Linked DNA regions of Rattus norvegicus. The protein of the gene in region 1 interacts with the protein of each later gene in a biochemical or structural test. Links are inferred from orthologs where the notes say so. Each region holds a gene or a part of one and is shown in the gene's direction. Other genes may lie near its edges.

What was found.
Region 2: of the proteins of Arih2 (region 1) and Ckb, one has a biochemical effect on the other in vitro, tested with the Homo sapiens proteins (2 studies listed by BioGRID). The link is inferred for Rattus norvegicus from reciprocal best matches to the Homo sapiens genes ARIH2 and CKB.

Annotation. Positions count from the first base shown.
Region 1 is NC_086026.1:118,184,842-118,195,989, reverse strand, and holds part of Arih2 (E3 ubiquitin-protein ligase ARIH2), read left to right. Parts: intron 1-3,006; coding exon 3,007-3,074; intron 3,075-5,584; coding exon 5,585-5,648; intron 5,649-6,225; coding exon 6,226-6,376; intron 6,377-7,913; coding exon 7,914-8,035; intron 8,036-9,361; coding exon 9,362-9,471; intron 9,472-11,148.
Region 2 is NC_086024.1:136,545,910-136,557,789, reverse strand, and holds Ckb (creatine kinase B-type), read left to right. Parts: upstream 1-4,325; 5' UTR 4,326-4,387; intron 4,388-4,630; 5' UTR 4,631-4,651; coding exon 4,652-4,844; intron 4,845-5,031; coding exon 5,032-5,186; intron 5,187-5,264; coding exon 5,265-5,397; intron 5,398-5,576; coding exon 5,577-5,748; intron 5,749-6,324; coding exon 6,325-6,448; intron 6,449-6,558; coding exon 6,559-6,748; intron 6,749-6,827; coding exon 6,828-7,006; 3' UTR 7,007-7,207; downstream 7,208-11,880. UniProt on the Homo sapiens protein: Reversibly catalyzes the transfer of phosphate between ATP and various phosphogens (e.g. creatine phosphate).

The DNA of each region.
Region 1 (11,148 bases):
CATCATGTCACCTCTGAGTGGGTAGTGAAATAGTAACTAGTCACCATCATGGAATGGAGATCTATTTCTAAACCAATTGTGTGGGCTTTATGGAATTGAGGAGGGCAGCCCTGACCCCTGTTCTTAGCTTAAAGATTCCACCTAAATCATCTGTAGTGATTTTAATGTGTTTATGGGGCCCAGGCCTACTATAAGATACATAGAAATCAGAACAGCTGGGTATGGTGGCCCATCTTTGGCTACTAGCAAAAAAAAAAAGAAAAGAAAAGAAAAGAAAAGAAGAAAAAAAAGAGTAAGAAGCAGTTGGTGTGGCCCAGTGAGGTTGCACATCAGTCTTCAACACTCAGGAGGCTAAAGCGGAGTGCTCTATGTAGTTACAGCCTATCTCAAAAAGAAATAAACAAAAGGGCTGAAAGAAGAAAGGAAGGACAGGATGGGCACAAGGGAGACTGAGTGCATCAGACAGCAAAGACAAGGCTCCAGCCAGGAGAAGGATGTACTTCTACAACGTTGTCCGCTAGCACCACTGTGCACTGTGGTACCTGCACTCCCTCAAACCTAACACATACAAACTCATATGCATTAAAAATAAAAGTATTTGTAGAGTCAACATTATGGAACACACTATAATCCTAGCACATGGTGGCCAAGGCAAAAAGGACCACAAGCTTGAACCAGCATGAACTACACATAGCTCCATACTGAGAGCTTCTAAGGGGAAAAAAAATCCAGCATGGTGGCACACATCTTTAGTGCAAGTACTCCGAGGGCAGAGGCAGGTGGATGTCTAAACCAGCCTGCTCTACATAGAAAGTTCTCTGCCAAAAAGACCTTATCAGTCAATCAATAAATAGCTGTATTTATGCATCTGCTAAAATTTAAAGAAAATAACTGGTTTATTACTTAATCTGTTGAGATGAATTATGGCAACAGTTAAAAGACATTACTATTCGTGATTTAGGGACCTTTGCCTTAAGTCTCCGTGGGCCTCAGTAAGAAAATTGTTTAGCAGCATATGTGGTCTTCATCTTTCATGGAAGGTAGTCAGAACTTCTGCCCCGTGTGAGATTTTCCCTGGATTTCTCCAGATGTATTTGGCCTGTGGGACAGGAAGGAAGGCAGTCGCTAATTGAACGGCCTTTGATAATGACGTCACGCTAGGATATGCATTATTTAGTCTCAGGGATGGCTTGTACCCCAGAGCTGGGGATTACATGTTGGTAATTGTCTTCCTGTTAAAGTTTTCTGGGAACCAGGTAGGCACTACGGTACAGGTAGCTGCTGTTTGTAGACTCAGCGCCAGATCAGAGCAGTGTCTGCATCCTGAGGTATCTACTGGCCTTTCGTATTCTCAGTGGCATCCTCATGCTGTCCTCTGCTTTCTCTGGGAAGCCTGCCTGATCTAGGCCTCCAAACACACCCCAACCTTTTGGCTCCCACCCTAGTCTTGATGCTTAAGATGTTTTCAACTAATTTATTTTCCATGTAATAAGATATCATGGCCCCTATGAATCGAATGCTTTATTGCTACTTTCTTCTTTAACCTAATACTGAAATGTAAGCTTCTCTGAAGCTCAGTTGGTTGAGCTTGACCGTTATGTACAAAGCTCTGAGCATAAACTGGACATGGTGGCACACATCTGTGATCCCAGAGTTGAGGAAGTGAAAGCAGGAGGATTAGAAGTTAAAGATCATTGGTAGCTATAAAGCAAGTTTGAGGTCAGCCTAGGTTATATGAGACTATCCCCCCAAAGTAAACCTGTTTTATATCCATAACTGTAGCATTCTTTTCAATAAGTTCATTGCTGTTCATTGCATGAATCTGTTACATATTTATCAGGCTCACTTTTCTTGGGCATATACGTTATTTTTAATATCTTAATAACCTAGTGGTACATGTATCCTCTCATTTCCTTAGGAAGAATTTACATTAACTTTTTGTCATCTTTTGAGGCTCTTTAATAGTCAGAGCCATGTGTAAAGACCAGAAAACAGTCTACAACCCTTTAAATGTTTAGCAATTAAGACTTGTTGAATTTTGTGAATTTGGACGTTTAAAACTGTTTTTTAAGGTAAGTGTGGTGGTCCATGCCTTTAATCTCAGTCTTTAGGAGGCAGATATAGGCAGTCTCTGAGTTTGAGGCCAGCCTGGTCTATAGAACGAGTTTCAGGACAACCGGGTCTAGCTACATAGAGAAACTCTGTCTTTTTTTTTTTTTTTTTTTTTTTTTTTTTTTTTTTTTTTGGTTCTTTTTTTCGGAGCTGGGGATCGAACCCAGGGCCTTGCGCTTCCTAGGTAAGCGCTCTACCACTGAGCTAAATCCCCAGCCCCGAGAAACTCTGTCTTAAAAACAATAAACTGACTGTAATTTAGAGTCTCACTGTGTACAGGGCCTGGCACTGTCTGTGTACAGCAGAAATTTGCCTGTCTCCGTCTCCTGAGATAAAAGGCATTTTTGGCTTTGTGCATGCAGATAGCTCAGGGTCTCACTGTACCCCCGGCTGCCTGAAACTTGGTTTTCAGACTCTGTCTTGAACTCAGAAGAGGTTTGCCTGCTGAGATTAAAATTATATGCTACCACATCTGACCTTAAATTCATTTTGTTGTTGACAGAATATAAATCAAATGCCTGGAGATATGCTGCTGGCCCTATCTAGAAGCACTCTGTGGGTGTGGCCTTGTAGAGCAGTGTTTGAGAACTTTACTCACATTCAGGAGCCCAGCTGGGAAGCTCTTTTGCTTAACGTTGGATATCACATTTTTAATTACTACAGAGAAGGATGGTTTTGCTTCAGTTTCCAGGGAGAGTTTCTAAGAAAACATGAATGAAAACAAAGATCAAGAGATGTATAAAATAACTAATATAAGAAATTTAACTTAAAAGACAAAAACATACAATGAAAGAAAAGAATGTGAAACTAGCATAGTGGTGATTTCTCAAATGATAGAACACTGTGAGAGACCACACTTAAAGTTTGTTGGTTTTTTGTTGTTGTTTCTTACAGGTATCTCATTCAGTTGCAAAGCTTATATTAGTTAATTTCCACTGGCAAGTCTCAGAGATTCTGGACAGGTAAGATATTCAGGGGAAAGGAGGTGAAATTGCCTATAGCATCCTTCTCTGCCTGTCCACTGTGATTTTACTCAGCCTGGTTTCTTGAAGCCCAGGAGAGTCACCACCCACAGTGGGCTGTGTCCCACCCCATCAGTCACTGATTAAGAAAATAACCTCCTCCAGGGGTTGGGGATTTAGCTCTGCGGAAGAGCGCTTGCCTAGCGAGCACAAGGCCCTGGGTTCGGTCCCCAGCTCCGAAAAAAAAGAAAAAAGAAAAAAAAAAGAAAATACCCTCCAGGCTGCTACAGTCTGATCTTTTGGACTTTTTGTTTTGTTTTTAAGATTTATGTCCACACTTTCGATGGACTAAGCAAGTGATTTCCCACTGAGCCATATCCCTGTTATAGCCTGTGTGGTTGCTGGGAATTGAACTCAGGTCCTCTGGAAGAACAGTCAGTACTCTTAACTGCTTGAGCCTCCAAAATCTTTTTTTTTTTTTTTTTTTGACAACCATTATCTAGCTCTGACTGTCCTTGAATTTTCTGTGTAGACCAGGCTGGCCTTGAACTCAAGGAGATGTGCCTGTCTCTACCTCTAAGCCCTGAGATCAAAAGATTATATTACCATAGTAGCAGCCTATAGCCTGATCTTAGGGAAGCATTTTCTCAGTCAAGGTTCCCCCTCTCAGGTGACTTCTGGCTTTTGTTAAATTAACATAAAAACTAGCCAGCATATATCCTGGACATAGGCAAGATGTTCAGTGGAAAGATGAGTCCATAGCATCCGTCAGTGTCTGCCCAACCCACTGTGATTGTTCTTGACATTGTGGGGTGTGTTCTCATGCACACACAATTGCTCAAAGGGATATTTTATATCCTTTTCTTTGAGCATATTATATTCTCTTACCTCTCAGCATACTCTTCTATTTCAGTTTTAATGCTGGGATAGTATTTGTTACTATACAGGTGTCTTCATACTTTTTAAACCTCTGTTGTTTGGCAGCAGATTTACGTTTAATCTTCTGTGTTTGTGTGGAATAGACCATTCCCCATAACACCAAAAAAGTTGAGAAATGGTTGGGTGTGGGTACCTGCCTTTAACACTTCGATGGACTAAGCAAGCGCTTGCCCACTGAGCCACACCCCCAGCCCCAGTTTACCCCTTATTTTGAAATATGATTTTGCTAAGTTGTCTAGGTACCCTGTTGGGATCTGCCTGCTGCTGTATCTGAAGTAGCTGGGAATACAGATCTATGCCATGAGACTTGGCTGGAGTGGACAATTCTTTGGTGATGTGGTGCTACTATGTAAACTATAGGAAATCTGGCAGCTCCTCTGGGCTTTACCTACTACGTGTCAGTAGCAGTGGCTTCCTCAGGTCTCTGACAGACCAGGAATAGCTTCAAATGGGCATGGTAGGTCCTCCTGTCTCCTCCTCTTGTGCATACATGTGCATACATGTGCCACAAGGTTCATGCAGTGCAGGGCATCACACCTTGTGCATGACGCAGACACTCTGCTAAGTGAGCTCTTTGCTTATCCCATGCTTCTTATTTTACTCTTAAATTATGTATCTTCTGGGGGACTTGAGATGGCTCAGTCCCATTCTCCCAAAAGTCCTGAATTCCCAAAAGTCCTGAATTCCCAGCAACCAGTTACGCAGTGGCTCACAACCCCCTGTAATGGCATCCAATGTCTTTCTTCTGGTGTGTCTGAAGAGATCAACAGTGAACTCACATACATAAAATAAATCTCTTTTTAAAAATTAAGTATCTTCTATTTGTATGATTTCACAACTTTATAAACAAAATTATGCTGTACACATTCTGCTTCCTATTTAGCGTGTCTGCATTTTATACTCTCTCCTTAGCTACCTTCTCTCTCAGAAAACGGTTTTGAGGGCTGGAGATGTGTTCAGTGGTTAAGAGTCCTTAGTGCTCTTGTTGAGGACTCAGATCCAGTTCCCTAGCACCACCTGGCAACTACATGTAACTGTATGTAGCTACATGTAACTGTATGTAGCTACATATAACTCTAGTCTCAAAGACTTCAGTGCCCTCTCCTGGCCTGCTTGGCACCAGACATGCAGATTGTATATAAACATACGTGCAAGCAACATTTTCATACATATAAGATAAATGTTAAAAACCAAACGGAGCAAGTGAGCATTGTGGCATACCCCTCCAATCTCGTACTCAAAAGGCAGAGACAGACAGATCTGTGAGCGTTGCAGAATAGCCAGGGCTGCAAAGTAAAGACCCTGTCTCCAACCTCTTGCCTCTGCCCAGCTTCCAAAGAAAAGAATGTATTGAGTTAAAGGAAATTTGGTTCAATAAAGAAACTATCAGAGAAAACCTCAAACATGCTATGGCCTCACATTTGCTGAGTGCTAGGGTTGTAGACACATACCATTATGCTGACAAGGTAAAATACACTTTGATGTAACCACAACACCTGATGATCTGTTCTGTCATTGAAAGTTAAAAATGTCTTCCAATGTGATTCTCTGTTTTGCCTTTTGTTTTCCAGGTACAGGTCTAATTCTGCTCAGCTGCTTGTTGAGGCGCGAGTTCAACCTAATCCATCCAAACACGTGAGTGTCTCCAACTAGAGTGAGCGGCTAGCTGTATTTGAGTGTTCATGGCTTTCTCTGTGACTCACAGTGTCAGCACCAGCCTTGTTTGGTGCTGTATAGAATGTCCACAATCCTTAGTTTGCTCCTAATCCCCACCCCCAATTTTTTTTTTTTTTTGTTTTTTATTTAACATATACACAAGGCTTTGCTTGAAACTCAGATCTGCTGGGCCTGCCTTTGCTTTCTGAGTGCTGTGATTAAAGGCATGAATGTTTGTCTTATGAGAATGCATGTGTAGTACTACATGGATGCCTAGTGTGTATGAGGCCAGCAGAAAACATTAGAACCCCTGGATCTGCGATTGCAGATGGGTACGGGCGGGCTGCCATATGTGTATTGGGAACCTAACTCAGCTCTTTAACAAAGACAGAAAACCCTCATAGCTAATCTGTTTTGTGATTTGAGCATGTTTTTGTGGGAAAACCACTGCCCTTGGCAAACTGTAGTGTGGACTGTGAGGACCTTTACAGTTCAGCTTTTGGGAACCTTATGTGGTGTTTGTTCTCCTTTTCCTGCTCTTCCCCTCCCACTCCAGGTCCCCACAGCCCACCCCCCTCACCACTGTGCAGTGTGTATGCAGTTTGTGCGGAAGGAAAACCTGCTCTCTCTGACCTGCCAGCATCAGTTTTGCCGAAGCTGTTGGGAGCAACATTGCTCAGTCCTCGTCAAAGATGGTGTCGGTGTAGGTGAGTCTGCACTGAAAATAAATATAGCTCTCACAAAAAAGGTCTTTTGAAAAACATTTATTTATTTATTCGATTTTATGCATATAATGTATTAAGTATTTTGTCTGCATGTAACTCTGTGTATACCATGTGTGTTTAGTGCCTGCAGAGGTCAGAGGAGAGCATAGGGTCCCTGGGACTAAGTGATAGGTGACAGTGACCACCATGTGGTGCTGGGCATAAACCCAGTCCTCTGTTAGAGCAACCAGTGCTCTTAACTGCCAAGCCATCTCTCCAGCCTTAAAATATTTGTCTTTCAGTCTGTTTTCATATACTTAAGTAAACATTTCTTGTAAGATTAACAGATCTAAATAATACAGTTTTCTGTAGTCTCCAGTAAAATGAGAAAATTAAAGGTTTTAGAAATATTGGTGTGGGTACAAAATGATTTTATGTCATTTTTACGAGAACCATCCTTTGTTAATCATTGGTGGTGCACACCTTTAATCCCCAATAATCAGACAGGCTGATTTCTGAATTGGAGACCAGCCTGGTCTACAGATTCAGTTCCAGGGCAGCCGAGACCTCATAAAAAGAAGCTCCTAACTGTAAGGGGGTGAGGAGGGTAGGATGCTGAGGGAGCTGTCCTTTAGCTGCCTACCATGCCTTGATTCCAGCTACTGCTTTGGGGCAATGTAACCTTTATCAGATTTGATTATGTGGTGCAGGAGTATTTGTTGCCCCTCACTTGATAATACTAAGAGCAATGTTCGTTGCTATCTGCAGAATCTCAGGACATTAACCTAGGCAAGGTGGCACACTGTTAGCTCAACATTTGGAGGTAGAAGCAGAAGCATCAGGAGTTCAAGGCCTCCTTCAGCTACATGGCAAGCTTAAGGCTAGTTTGGACTATATGAAATAGTAGTATTCTGCTTCCCCTCCAACAAAAGGAAACACCAAAATATGAGTATACTAGTAATAATTTCATGTACATAATAAAACAAAATCATTAGTCGTATTAATCACTAAGTCTATAATTTGTTGTTGTTGTTGTTGTTTAAGACAGGACTCCCCATGTAGCGTTGGCTGACCTGGATCTCATGTAAACCAGGCTCTCCTTAAACTCTGCCTCTGCTTCCCCAGTGCTGGGGTTAGAGACATGAGCCACTACCTCTAACATTTTAATTTTATTTAGTGGTGCTTATAATGATATTTGGGTAATTGAGCCCAATATCTATCGTAATTACATTATTATGAAAACATGTTAATTTCTCTCTTTGCATAAGTTCTTGTTTTTTCTTGTTTTGTAGTTTTTTGAGGCACTGTTTCTCTGTGTAACAGCCATGCCTATCATGGACTCACTTTGTAGACCAGGCCGGCTCACAGAGATTAACCTGCCTCTGGGATTAAAGGTGCTAGCTTTGATAACTATTTTGAACAGAGAATTTCCTATATGGAATTAGAATTTGTTGGTGGAACATGGAGGATAAGTATATTGTACTGTAAAGGGGGTGTAGAAGACAGTATGGCCGCCATCACTTTTATCTTTGTTCAACAGGAATCTCATGTATGGCTCAGGATTGTCCGCTTCGAACACCAGAGGACTTTGTGTTTCCCTTGCTTCCCAACGAAGAGTTGAGAGATAAATACAGGCGCTACCTCTTTAGGGACTATGTGGAGGTATGAATGGCCCTGTTCTTTTGCCCTCTCTCTTCCTGAGGCTACCATATGCAGTATAGTCCCAGCTGGTGGTAAATCACATAGCTCTTGGGGCTGGAGAAAAGGCTCAGTACTTTAGAGTCTTGAAGAGGAAGGATCTTGTTAGTTCTCAGTACTCGTGTCCTGTGTCTGTAACTCCAGCCACAGGGGATCTCGACACCTTCTTCTGGCCTTTCTAGGCACCTGCATGCATCCACACATACCTCCTCATCCCTATACTAGACACATAATTTAATTTAAAAAACTGTGATAAAGACCTTGTGCTCTGAAAAAATGCTGTGTGAATCCAAGATCTGTTGCTTCCTCGTTGTGAGACCACTTGCTCGTTAGTTTACCTGAATCTTGGTTTCCACTGCCGTGAGTGGACAGGCATCCCTGTCGTCCAGCAGACACAGACAACTGAGCAAGCTGAGCAAGCCATCTTGGTTCAGGGGTGAGCACAGGTCAGACCTAGCTCAAGGGTTGCTACTCCATTTGTTTTTCAGTACAATTCAGCCCAGAGAAGGGCTGTTTTGTTTGGGTTTTAACAATTTGAAAACTTCTTCAGGATACCAGCATGGTTGGTTCTGTTTTAGGCCACCTGCCCAGTTTTGCAGATTCTACACAGTGCAATTTCCACCTTTGTTATGACTTCGTTTAAAAGCTATTGGATTGGTCGTTGTCTTGCAGAAATGCAGGATAAACACAAGGCCTTTTGCTTTGTATAATTTGTTACCATGGATAGATTATTGAGCGTCTCTGAGTCCTTGAGCTGTCAGATGCACGGGTAACGGAACTGTGTTACCATCCAACCCACATCCAAACATGTTCTTCCTGAGACCTCTTCTCCCTGGTTGACCCAGATCTCCTTGATTAAACTCTCTGGGCTCAAGCAGTTCTCCTGCCTTAGTTTTCCAAGTAGCTAAGTATCCGGAGCTATAGACAAACATGTCTTTTCCAGCCTACAGGCACACTTATAAAATAACAAGGAGTTAGTAGCTCCTTGTTTTTTTGGTTTTTTTTTTTTTTTTTTTGTTTTTTTTTGGAGCTGGGGACCGAACCCAGGGCCTTGCGCTTGCTAGGCAAGCGCTCTACCACTGAGCTAAATCATCAACCCAGCTCCTTGTTTTAAGCTAAAGAAATATTCTCTGTAATAATTAGTTAATATCTATTTTTCACAACATCTACCCTAAACATGTTTAGCCCTTTGATGTAAGCCATCAGTTGGAGTACAGAGGCACTTGAGCAGTCCGTCTGAGGTGCAACCGTTAGCCGATCGCTTCATCATTTCCTTCGCTGTGTTTACAGAGTCATTACCAGCTCCAGCTGTGCCCTGGTGCAGACTGCCCCATGGTTATTCGGGTACAGGAGCCGAGAGCTCGCCGAGTGCAGTGCAATCGGTGCAACGAGGTCTTCTGGTAAGAGAGGGGATGCCGAGCAGTCCTGGGTGCAGGGCCCGTCTTCCTCCAAAGAGCCTGTTGCTGTCTGTGAGGACAGGACTGGGAGAGTTGGACTATCTGTCCAGAAGAGTACAGCTCTAGGTAGCCAGGTTTGTGCCCAGGTAGTTTTGGCAAATGAACAGACTCTGGGGGCAAGGAAGTGGCAGATTCCTGGGGAATATGTTAGGTGTATGCTGTACTCATGGCCAAGACACTGTCTACCGTTTTGACTTCAACACTTTTTTCCTCTCTTTTTTTTAAACATTTATTTATTTAATATGTTCTGCCTACGTGCCAGAAGAGGGCATCAGATCCCATTACAGATGGTTGTGAGCCACCATGTGGTTGCTGGGAATTGAACTCAGGACCTCTGGGAGAGCAGTCGGGTGCTCTTAACCACTGAGCCATCTCCGCAGCCCAACACTTTTCATCTTTCTGTTTTGAACTTTTTTTAGCTAACTTTTACATTTTAAATTTATTATCTTTTTATATTTTTTGACAAGATCTCATTTAGCTCAGACTGGCTTCAGATTCAAAGCATAGCCAAGGATTATCTTGAACATCTCTGGTCTCCCCGTGCCTCCACAGTGCTGCGAGTCCAGAGTCGCATCACCATGGAAGGTCTATATGGTGCTAAGAGTTGAGCTCAGGACATTGTTTGTCTCATTTTGTTTAGTTTTGAGACAAGGTCTTGCTATGTAACTTTGGCTAACCTGGAACTAACTTTGTAGGAAGATCTGCCCTCCATTAGCGGTAGTAATGCTAGGACTGACTTCATGGTCCACCCTGCTGGCACTGGCTGACTTGTGTAAAACTAAGTTGTGGGTGAATTTTACATCTGAGGTCCTCATTCAATAAGTTCCAAGTGACAAGCCTCTGTCCAGTCATTCCCCTGCATCATCACAGCTGTGAGATTTGCTCTGTCACCATCGTAGTGTTCTCTGTCAGGAAGTCAAGTTACAAGGTTACTAACTACTAGTAAATAGCAGAGCCATGGTTTGGATCCAGGTTTGTCCTAGTTGCAGTTCCCTGGAAGATCCATGGTCTGGCTTCACAGGAGCTTCGCAGCAAATGGGTGTGCGCACCTTCAGCCGCCCAGGACCGTGAGCGGACTCTCCCTCTTAAAGCAGAGAACTGAGTAATTGCTGCCTTGGAGACCTTCACTGTTGACTTGTACAAAAGGAAATTGAGGACCTGAGTCCTAGCTTTGTTTTGTTTTGTTTTTTTTTAAGCTTCACTTCTTTTGAGGGAGGAGTGGGGGTAGTTGAGACAGGGTTTCTCTGTGTGGTGCTAACTGTCCTCTGACTCGGTAGTCTAGAACTCACAGAGATCCACCTGCCCCTGCTTCCCAAGTGCTGGGATTAGAGGTGTGCACTGCCACCTACCATTTAAGCTTCAGTTCTTTCACATGTGATAGTACCTTCAGACTTAACAGTGCTGGTATTGGTGCATCCTTATGTGCACATCTAGCCAGAAGGTGTAGAGAGGTTCCCCAGAGTCTCAGTCCTACCTTAAACCTGAGTGAAGGTTCTCCCTCCTCACTTGCCTTTCAAGGAGCTGAGCTCATGGCTAAAGTTGTAGCTCACTTGGTAGAGTGTCTGGATAGTACATAAAGCCTTGGATTTAAGGCCCTCAACTATGTGCAGACATGTTGGC
Region 2 (11,880 bases), on another chromosome or scaffold:
CAAGCGGATAGGACAAGCTGTAGTAGTGTTGTAAGGTCCTTGCCCTAGAAACTCAGGTGCCTGACTCCAGACCTCAGATTTCGGCCCTGGCTGACCTTAACAGAATAGCCCTGGAAGAACAGGCAATGAGGGGTTTTCTTGGTCACCCATTCTGTGAAGTTAAACTTTTACCTGAGACATCCAGCTGTATCCACGGCTGCACAACCCCTATCCCTAACAGGGTACTTCATTCCCTTGGTGGTGCACAGCCCAAGACACATCCTAATTGCTCCTCTGGAGAGTTAAGACTTTCCACTCCTCCTGAGGTTCCTCTTCCCCAGCTTCTCGGTGGCATGGAGACCAGGCCTTAGTACATCCCCACCAAACCTATGAGTTCAACCAGGGGGGTTTCCCTTGGTTCCAGTTACCCACTGCTGGCTTCCCAGTCCTTCCTGCGTACCTTCTGTAGTCCACCTTCTCAGAGCTATCCATCTGTCATGCCTCAGCTCAGCCTGGAGTCTTCTAGCAGAGCCAGCCTCCTTAAGACCCTAGCTGCTGAGGTGGGGGTGGGGAGATTTCCATGGGCAGTTTATACACTGACTTGTCCTAATAAAAACAGATGCTATCAGCAGTCAGCCAACTCTCATGTCACTGAACCCTTCCACCCCACAATTTTATGACCTCTTTACAGACGGGGAACAGAAGGTCAATTTGTCTAGCATCATACAGACAACATGGTTTAAGCAGGACTGAATTTTGCCTTTGAGACAGTCTCCCTATATAGCCTTGGCTGGTCTAGAACTCACTGTGTAGATCATGCTGGTCTCAGACTCAAGAGATCTGCCTGCCTCCGCTTACCAAATACTGTGTTTAAAGGTGTGGTCCACCCTGGCCTGAGAGATTGCAGTTCAAAGCCTAGTTTCAGAGAATTGATAAGACACTTGAGCAAGAACAGAGGCAGTTCCAGAGGAAAAGAAGCTGCGCCTTTTGGGTAGGCTGCTCCACCTGCACCTCTGTCAGGGCCTAGGCTGCCAAGAGGCCCCTTTGACTGGCACAGCCCTGCGGCACTGGGTCCTGCAGCCGCCACCTCTCTTCTAACCCCTGCCAACTTCCCCTTTGTGTTCCATGAGCAAGGGAGCAGAGAGGAAGAGCTGTACCCTGGGCACAGACTGACGGACTATGGATGGCCTCTGGGGAACCTGGAGCCCAGAGACCTGTTTCTCCACTTGCCCTGCGGAACTGGACCATGCTCTATGAATAAAAAAACCTAGGACTCCTTTGAGGCCCTTTCCTGCTCTGTGGTTAATGTATGACTTGGTGTGATTTCGAAGGAGATAGGACCGTAAATCTGAGGGATGATGTCATCCAGCTTCTTGCCTGGAAACTGCCAGACCAGCTACTGAGTTCTAAGGTTAGCAGCAGGTCCACAGTCAGGAACGCAGCTGGGTCAGCAGACCCTCAGCTTGCTCCCTTGCTCTGAAGGCCACCAGGACTTCCAAGCAACACCTCAGTGGGGGCCTCACGTTCATATTGTGATCTAAAGACTGTGAAAGGCCCCTTTACCTCCCTACTCTGCTGTCACCTCTACTGTAGCTGTCATATACTCTGCTCTCTGAATCTGCACAATGTCCCAAGCGTAGTCACCCTGGGACCACTGGGGGATATCTGGACTTCTGAGCCAGCACTTCTTTGTGTGTCTTCCTTTGTGTATCTGAAGTAGAGTGGGGCATAGGACAAAGGTCACAAGAGCCTGTTCCTGTGCTGGGTGTGGCTTACTGCTGGGATAGGCACCCCTGCCAGTCCTACCTTCTGTTCCTCACCTCACCTAGAATCCTGGTCTTGCCCTGGCACGGAGATGGGAAGGGGTAAGGAAGGAGAAAGAGCTAAGAAGCTGTAAATCCTGGAGGCAAAGAGGAAGCCCCAAACTCCCCTTCCCCACCCCCAGCCTAGATAACAAGTTCGCTTCCCATTTCTACAAACAGAAACTTGAGAACTAGGGCTCAAGCAGAGCCAGCTTCCCTGAGCAGGGTAGGGACTGGGTGGGCAGCTGCAGATTATTTCTGAGATGGGGAGGGGCTGCTGGGAGCATAGCACACACAGGCTGATGGTACACCTGTGGTCTAGCCAGAGACAAGAGCTCAGGGAGCCCAGGCTGGTCTTGAATTCCTAATCTTCCTTCCCCCCCCCCCCTTTTCTTTTTGAGACAAGGTTTCTCTATGTATCCCTGGATGCCCCAGAATTCACTATGTAGGCTAGGCCAGCTTTAAATGCCCAGATACACATCTGCCTCGTCTTCCAGACTCCTGGAATACCTTCTTATTGTGAGGTTTCATTGGCCTACAAAAAAGTGACTTGACCTGGGCATGGTGGCTCCATCCTATAATATCAGAACTTAGGATGCTGAGACGGGAAGAGCCTGGTCTATGGACTCTTGTCTCAAAACACAGTAGACCAAGCTGAGCAAGAGACAGGAGCTCTGCAGGAGCTCTGGGGACAGAACAGTGGTGGCTTTTCATGCTCACCCAGGCAGAGGCAGGCAGGCAGGCTTTCTGCCCTGAGTTCTTTACTCTGCCACTCTACCCAGGCACCGGCACATTCTCTCGAAGCCTTGAATTCTAGTCATGCCTCTCTGTTTGCTCAGGGCAGCCTGCTTCCACAGAAAGGCAGGTCCCTAAGCCTCTTGGGCACTTCCATCCATCTTTATTCCATCCAGTCCCTCACGTGTGGCTGGAGGTGCAGGAGGAGCAGCCTCCCCCAAAAGGTGTCTTCAGCTTCTTTTCCTCTGGGGCTTAAGTGTGCTCTCAGTTCTCTGAAGCTAGGCTTTGAACTGCAATCCCTCAGGGCAGGGTGGACCACGTCTTTAAGTCCAGAATTGGGTAAGGAGAGGCAGGCAGATCTCTGAGGCCTGTAGGGTCTACATGGTGAGGTCCAGGACTATAGAGCCTGTCAAAGACAAACGACTGAAGATATTCTGTCTAACACACAAACCCAGAAATGGCTGAGAGGCTGTGAGTAGACAATAAACAGGAAAGTATAGATATTGATTTTTTTTTTGAGACAACGTTTCTCTGGAACAGAGGCCTGGCTGTCCTGGATTCTCTTTGTACACCAGGTTGGCCTCAAACTCATAGAGATCCTCCTGCCTCTGCCTGGGATTGAAGGGGTATGCCAGCATGCCCGGCCTCACCTCTGTTTGCGTCTGTACACTTTTCTACCTATGGCCATCCCCTCATGAGCATCAAGGTCTAATCCAAGCGTGTCTTTCTCTCCCTCTGCACGGTTCCTGATCTATTCGTAGAGAAGGGACGCCGTCTTTCTATAGGCTGGATTCCTAGAAGTGAGATTGCTAGGTCATGGAACAATTTTAAAAATTTTAATAAGTACTGCTAAACTACTTTCCAGAGAAGATGAAACTGCTGGCAGCTGGAGGCAGGGTGTGAACGCCTGTGTTCACACATTCCAATTCACAGCCGGCACTGGCTGTGGTCAAATTCCAGGTTTCCCCGTACCTGCGTGTGTGGGACACGGGGTGGGGGAAAGAGACTCTTTCAATCTGGTGGATCTGATTAATGAGCTTATTTTTGACTGGTGCTTCCTCCACCCCCAGTTTGCCTGCCGTAGGTACTGTCTTTGTAGGTGGGGTGGTAGAAACCGGTCCCTCAGGAAAGAACCTGGGGATTTGAAGATTCAAAAACAGTCTCTAGGAGCTCAGTGTCTTGAATTTTTCAGGGTCCGGGTCCAAGGGTCTTGGCTAGGTTCCTTAGGGCCCGCCCAAGGTCAGAACACCCTGGGTGCTTCCGGGCGGGACCGCAGCCAGACTGCGCCTCTGGTGTTGCACCAAGAACACCCAGGAGATGCCCGCAGGCACCTTGAGGAAGGTCAGCTCCCCTGTACCGTTTTGTACCGCCTGGATGCAGTGGATGGAAGCCGTACCCCATGCTAAAAACCTGGTATCTCTTGCCATGACCCCCTCAACACTGCTGTCGGCCTGACAAGGCAGGAAGCAGGGAAGGCAGGAACCTCAAGTGCTAACTGGCTTTCCAGACTCAGTTTCCTGCCCCGAGGCAGTGTGTGTGAAGCAGGTCTAGGGTATCTACGGTCCTGGGATTTCGTCTTCGAGATCCTGAGCGAGCGCCACGGGGTTGACCAAACTGCGCAGCGGGGTCGAGACTTGGGGACCCATGGGGTGGGCCGCTGGGGGTGTCGAGGGTTGTTGCCTCGGACAAAGCGGCGGCACCACCCCAAAGCGCGGGCCAATGGAATGAATGGGCTATAAATAGCCGCCAATGGGAGGCCGGCGACGCGCCCCTTAAGAGCTCAGGGAGCAGCGAGCGGCCGTCGTTCTTCTGCGCTGCGCCCGGAGCTGCAAGCACAAGCAGTCTGCGTTCCTGCTCCGTCCGGAATCCCGGTGAGCGGGTCGGAGGGTGAGGGGCTAGTCCTGAGGGGCGCTACGCGGTTGGGTGCATCACGCGCAGCTCGTTGCCCGGAGCGCGTCCCGGACCCGCCGGGGAACTTGGGATGCGCCGGACTCAAAAGATGCAGACCTCGCTGACCTTGGTGACGTCCGAGGAAAGCTTCGGGGGTCCGGATTGGTCTGCAGGTCTCTGGAGACCGGTGTGTAAAGCTCCTCTGACCCCGCTCTTCCCCGCAGCCTGCCGCCGCCGCCGCCGCCATGCCCTTCTCCAACAGCCACAACACGCAGAAGCTGCGCTTCCCGGCCGAGGATGAATTCCCTGATCTGAGCAGCCACAACAACCATATGGCCAAGGTGCTGACCCCCGAGCTGTACGCGGAGCTCCGTGCCAAGTGCACGCCGAGCGGCTTTACGTTGGACGACGCCATCCAGACTGGCGTAGACAATCCGGGTATGCACACCCTTGTAGCGTCAGGCTTTCGTCTCCCCAACAAGCCCCCCGGGCAAGGATCCCACTGCTCTTCCCTGAACCCTCGGCGGGGTGGGGTCTCCTGGTCCTCTCTGCGCTTAGCCATAAGGGCCTCAGTGCCTTGCTCTAGCTTGGCGCTGACGTCACTGTCGCCGCGCCCCTCCTCCAGGCCACCCGTACATCATGACAGTGGGTGCAGTGGCGGGCGACGAGGAGAGTTACGACGTATTCAAGGACCTTTTCGACCCCATCATCGAGGACCGGCACGGCGGCTACCAGCCCAGTGATGAGCACAAGACTGACCTCAACCCAGACAACCTGCAGGTGCGGGGCGTCAGGGTCCGGGCGTGCTGGGGAGAGGGGGTCTCGGCGCTCACTCCGGCCACTGCCTTGCATCCCTAGGGCGGCGATGACCTGGACCCCAACTACGTGCTGAGCTCGCGGGTGCGCACAGGCCGAAGCATCCGCGGCTTCTGCCTCCCCCCTCACTGCAGCCGTGGGGAGCGCCGCGCCATCGAGAAGCTGGCAGTAGAAGGTAGGGTCCGGTATCAGCCACCAGAGCTGCTGCGTTCTTGTCTGGGCGCGCGCGCATTCCCCCAGGGGTCTGAGGGTGGAAGACCCAACTAAGACAGCGGGGACACTGCCGCGGGCGGGGTGGCGAGCTTTCTAGCTCGCCCACCCACCCACCGGGTCCTTGAACTCTGTACTCCGCAGCCCTGTCCAGCCTAGATGGCGACCTGTCTGGCAGGTACTATGCGCTCAAGAGCATGACCGAGGCGGAGCAGCAGCAGCTCATTGACGACCACTTCCTCTTCGACAAGCCTGTGTCGCCTCTGCTGCTGGCCTCCGGCATGGCCCGCGACTGGCCGGATGCTCGCGGCATTTGGTACGAGCCCTCTTCCCTCACAGTCCCCGGAAGGTGGGGCACGGCCTGAATTCGTAGATTGTGCGTTACCACACTGTGCGCAGGTGACCTTGGTTCTGCGGATGACTGAGGTCCCTGCGCCGCGGGAGGCCGCAGTCTCCAGGGATTCAAGGGTGGTGACCAGTTTCTTTGGCGTCTGTTCTCCGCCCTCCTCCTGGGAGCCGGCGCTTCTTGTTTTCTCTCCTCCTTCTCACCCCCTTATTCCGCCGGGATTCTGCCAGGTGCCAGTGACGCAAAAGCCTCCGCACCCGTCCGGGCAGGGCTCCTACCCCTGCAGACTGCGCGGGCGGAGGCGTGCTTCCTCTGGTGGGCTGCTCTGGCTGCTCCAGCCCCTTGCGGGCCACGCAGCACATGACTGGTGATTGAGGTGCCCTGGTCTCCCTGCCTTCGAGTGTTGCTGGGTGGGCGTCTTAGAGACAGCCCACACTCCTGCACTTGGAAAGCGCTTTGGAGGTCACCCACCTAGGGCGTCCTGCTGGGTGTGACCTAACTAAGGCTGTAGACTTTGACTTTGGTCTGCCCGACCCCCTCCTCCAGGCACAATGACAATAAGACGTTCCTGGTGTGGATCAACGAGGAGGACCACCTGCGGGTTATCTCCATGCAGAAAGGGGGCAACATGAAGGAAGTTTTCACGCGATTCTGCACTGGCCTCACTCAGGTCTGGCCTGGTGCTAAGGAGGGAGGGGGTCGGGGGGATTTGAGTCCACATTTCCCAGGGTGCTTGGGGCTTCCAGCTACATTTTCCCTTAACTTTCCCTTCACCTTCAGATTGAAACTCTCTTCAAGTCTAAGAACTATGAGTTCATGTGGAACCCTCACCTGGGCTACATCCTCACGTGCCCATCCAACCTGGGCACTGGGCTTCGGGCAGGCGTGCACATCAAGCTGCCCCACCTGGGAAAGCACGAGAAGTTCTCGGAGGTGCTCAAGCGACTGCGGCTTCAGAAGCGAGGCACAGGTGAGGGGCAGACGACTCAGGTGAAGCAGCAAACGCGGCTTTCCCCAGCCCTGCTGACCTGCCTGTCTCCCATCCCCAGGTGGTGTGGACACCGCTGCTGTGGGTGGAGTTTTTGATGTCTCCAACGCTGACCGCCTGGGCTTCTCGGAGGTGGAGCTGGTGCAGATGGTGGTGGACGGAGTGAAGCTACTCATTGAGATGGAGCAGCGGCTTGAGCAGGGTCAGCCCATTGACGACCTCATGCCTGCCCAGAAGTGAAGCCTGGCCCTAGCCACCACCAGGCTGCCGCTTCCTAACTTATTACCCGGGCAGTGCCCGCCATGCATCCTTGATGTTTGCCGCCTGGCGGCTGAGCCCTTAGCCTCGCTGTAGAGACTTCTGTCGCCCTGGGTAGAGTTTATTTTTCTGATGGCTAAGCTGTTGCAGACACTGAAATAAATTAGGGTTTGGCCTGCCCTATGTCTGAGTGTTGCTTCTCCTTTCTTAGAGACAGTCGTGTGTGTGTGTGTGTGTGTGTGTGTGTGTGTGTGTGTGTGTGTGTGTGTCCATCCGTCCTTCCTGGCCTGTCACTTCACCTAGCAGATGAAACATGAGTCTTAAGATACAGGGCAGAGGGAGGGAGACTTGAGTGCAGCCTGAACATCTAAGGACATTTGTACTTGCAGGGTGGAGCCTAGTATTTCCTTAGCTCCAGCCAGCTAAAGGGAGTCAGCAACTTGACATCTTCCCCAGTTTCTTTCTGCCGCATTCCTGGCAGCCTGAATATCTAAAGTTCTATCTCTTCACTTCCTTCCCCTCCAGGCTTCAACACTTACTCCAGTTCTTAAATAATTCTCTCCCTACTTCCTCCAGCTTCCAACCCCAGGTTGAGGTGCCTCCTCCTGATCCCTCAGCCCAGCTCTCCAGCCCCATCCAGACAAGAGCTTTTCAGAACCACCCGTCCCTCTCTTGCAGCTTCCTCTCTGGGGCCCTGGTGGTTGGGAGGAGACAAGCTTTTGCTTCCACTTCTAGCTTCTGTGCCACGTCATCTAGGAGACAGGACAGTAGTTGGAGGGGCTTTGCTGTGACCTGTCTGAACAGGTCAAAGGGGAGACATTCCAAGGCTCACATCAGGGGGCCTGGGCACAAAGGCTTGGCTGCTTTTCATGGTGGCTTATCCTGGTTGGGCCTCATGAAAAGATCTGGCCCACATTTGAAAGCTGAGAAAGGGAAAAACGTCAACCAGGGGCTGGAACTGCAGTTCCCCGCCCCCACAGTGAGTCTTCCAAGAAAACAGTCTTGTGCTGCCCCCTGCTGGTCAGGCACACCACAGGCTTCACGGATGATCGCCCCAGACTTGATACCCAGACCCAGTAGATGGGGAGGCAGCACTGAGCTGTGGGCTACAGAGGTGTGTCCTGGTGTTGCTTCAAAGGGCAGACTCCAGTTATGGGCTCATCTAGGTGGTGTCTAGGTTGGGGAAACTCGAGTGAGGACTTACCTGTAGAACGCTGTCAGAACGCATCTCACTGGGTGGACTGGGCTATATAGGACAGGCTCCCTAGAAGGACAGAGAGGGGTCAGGGATCTCTGCATCTCTTTTTTTTTTGTTTGTTTGTTTGTTTTTTTTTTTCGGAGCTGGGGACCGAACCCAGGGCCTTGCGCTTCCTAGGCAAGCGCTCTACCACTGAACTAAATCCCCAACCCCGATCTCTGCATCTCTTAGTGTCCTGGGATAGCACTCTCTTCTGTCTTCAGTCTCCTCACATGTCCTAACAGGTTTGCAGCTAGCACTTCTGTCAGGGAGATCTGGGGCCCCGCGAGACAGGGGTATGGATGAGACCGTTCCCTCAGCTTTGTCTTCCAGTCAGTGGGGTTCTGCCAGCCACACTTGTAGACTTCAGTCTGGTGGCAAAAAGTAGTCCTTCAGCTGGGCAGTGCGAGCATATGCCTTTAGGAAGGCAGAGCTCTGAGCTCAAGGCCAGCCTGAGCTATAGAGCAAGTTCCAGGACAGAACAGAACTTCAAAGAAAAACCCTGTCTTGAAAAACGGGGGAGGGGGAGCTTTAGAACTATCTCCATAAAAAAGGGAAGTGAGTCTCTGACAGGGAAGGACAAGAGAGGGACAGTAGGTACAGTACACCCTAAACCCTCCATCTGCTGTTACACATCAAAAGACCTGATGACAGGAGGCAGGACATGGGACCCCTGTAATGGTGAGGGTTCCTGCCTGTCTTCTTATAACTGCCTCAGGCCTGTTAAGTTCATTCTTGGAATACCAACTTTTCTTCTTATGGAAGAAGTCCAGACGGCCCTGCTCTGTCTTTGGATCTGAGATTCAAATGAGTGTGTTGAGCTTGGCTTTTGTGGTGGGCACAGAGAGGAAGGAGCTGTGCTCATTGGGAGTGGGGGTGGAGGCAAATCTCCCTGGGACAGTCTGACCACACTAAGTCTGATTTCTTACCAGGAGCAGCCAAAGGAGGGTTTCACCTTGGAGCTACCAACATTGGGGTGGTCCAATGATAGAGGTGGGTATTCTGTCCTCCAAGACACCAACCTACCATACTAATAAAAACCCCAGCCCTCTTCACCCTGGGGCGGGTAGAATTTCTAGATGCTGACCCTGGAAGACCACTATCCAAAAACAAGGAAATACAACTGCTTAGAGAAGGAAAGAACTGGTCAGGACCATTTACTTGGGGGGGTGGGGGGAGACAGAGAGACAGAGAGAGACAGAGAGTGCGAGCGAGTTTGGCCAACCCCACCCCTCCTACTTCATGCAAGCAAATTTCACACTCAGTGCTGTGAAGACAGGCTGAGAAAGCAAGCACGGGTTATAAAACAGCTTGCACTGAGATCCCACACAGATTATTATGTATGGACAAACCCCCAGAGCCTTCTGCCTGTGGGTGGAAACAGGTGATTTCCTTCTTTATACTTCTCTTTCCGAATTTCTTCCAGTGAGCATGTATTGCTTATATAAGGCAATGTTTTTGGCCATGTTGAGGGTCAAACTCAGGGTTCTGCACATGCTAGGTAAGTGCTTGATCTTAGCTGCATTCCCAGTCTTCCCTATGTACCTGAGGATGAACGTGAAATCCTCCTGCCTCCACCAACCGGCGGCTGGGATTGTGGATGTGTACTGTCTCACCCTGTTTCTGCAGTGCAGGGTTTAGGATTAAACCAAGGGCTTTGTACTAGTCAGTGCTGGGCTACACAGCCTTGGCCCTGTCCCAGTAAAACTGGAACTGTTTTTCTTCTTTCTTCTATTTATATTTTAAGAATTTAATGTGTCACGGCTGGTGGGAGTCCATTAAGGCAGTAGCAAGAAGGCATCCACTGCTAACCTCCTCTGTGATGGGGAAACTGAGGCTCAGAGAGGAAAGCCTAACTCTAGGTCAAGCCTAACCCAGGCCTGGGTGATTCCTCTGCTCTAACTTCTGGGGCTTTCAGGGCTCTTGAGGGGTGGGTCTAGCTTCTCCCAATGGTAGCTTAGAAGGCTGCAATTGCCCACAGGGTTCCTTACACAGCACTTCTATTTCTGACCCAGCCTGGTACTTAGCAAGCCTCCTGATGCCTGAGGCAGCTAGACATTATACCCACAGGGATTCAAGTTAAATCTTTCCCACTGGCCAAAAGGAGAGTCATCCTACTAATGTAGTGGGTGACAGCCAGGGAAGCAAGGCTTTTTGGTCAGCTGGGACTCTGGTCTGTGTCTTTACTCTGACCCAGAGCAGGGGCTCTGGCTGAGGCTCAGGAGTCCTGACTACCACACCTTGGCCAATACAGTCCCTACCTACTTAAAGGCTGGACAATAGCTGGGCATGGTAACACACGACTTTAACAGGACAGAAGTGGGAGTGGCAGGAGCTCCCTCTGGCCAAGTTTTAAGGTATTGATGGCTTAAAGTTCCCTGGTGGCCACTCTGCTTTAGCTACAAAGTTTTGGTGCTTAGCTTGGTGACAAGACAGTCATTCAAGCAGCCACCTTGGGATGTGAGTACAAGGCCATCCTGCAGAAAACAGGTAGGGCTCCTATGTTTGTATCACCTGGCCACTAGGTCCTGATGGAAACGTGTGTGGCACCTAAATCACTAGTGGGGAAGTGATCAACCGGGACTGTGGTCAGCTCTCCTAGCAGCAGCGTCACTGGAGAGCAGGGCAGACTGTGGGTCAGTGGGGTTGGACTGCGGGTGGAATGAAGGGTGACCTGGTTCTGGCTTTCTCCACACTGGGGATGACTCACTAGGTTGTCTGATGGAGTGTCAGGCTGTCTGGTAGTTTATGTCTAGGCTCAGGCACAGCTCCATTTTGCAAATTCTACCACACCCATGCCAGCAGAGGTGGTACTGCTTGCCCGGCTGCTGCAGCCTCAACTCGATTGTTCTTGTTAGCCTGCGTTTGAAGCGGTGTGTTCCCCAAGCCAAGGTTGTCCCAAGACAAACCAAACCAGGTAGATCCCAGTGTGGTGGCACGCGCCTTTAATCCCTGCATTTGGGAGGCAGAGGCAGGCAGACCTGAGTTTGAGGCCAGCCTGGTCTACAGAGCAAGTTCCAGGGTGGCCAGGACTACAGAAAAACCCTGTCTCAGAAAACAAACAACAAACCCAGACAAACAAAAAGAAAAAACCTAAACAAATCTGTTGGGTTGAAAGCACTGCTTCTGAGCACTCAGCAGCCCTGTGCGTACGGAGGGGCTTGGGTAGACCAGATGTCCAGACATAAGCAGTTCACCCCACAGACCTGCAGCTGTTGATTCTGGCTTGACAATGACCACCTGTGCTGCTGCTTGAGCCAGAGGCCTCACCCTGTCCTTAGTCCTGCAGACAGAAAGGAGGGGCCAGACATTTCTCTTCTCTGGCCTCAGGTCAAGGATTCCGTGACGGCTTTTTTTTTTTTTTTTTTTTTTTTTTTTTTTTTTTGTGCCAAGTCCTAGTGTTTGCCTAAGTTCATTAACTGAGAAGTGTAACTTACTGCCACCTCTGGATTACAGGGTGGGTTACCTAAGGGCTTACCAAACGGTTGAGGGCCTGAAAGATGGTGGTGAGCAGCAGGTCCAGGCCTAGAATGCTCAGGGTGCCTGGAATGGGGCCTCCTGAGGTTGGAGGCCATCTGGGGCTCCTCTACCTAGGACTATCTGCTACTTCCCAGAATGT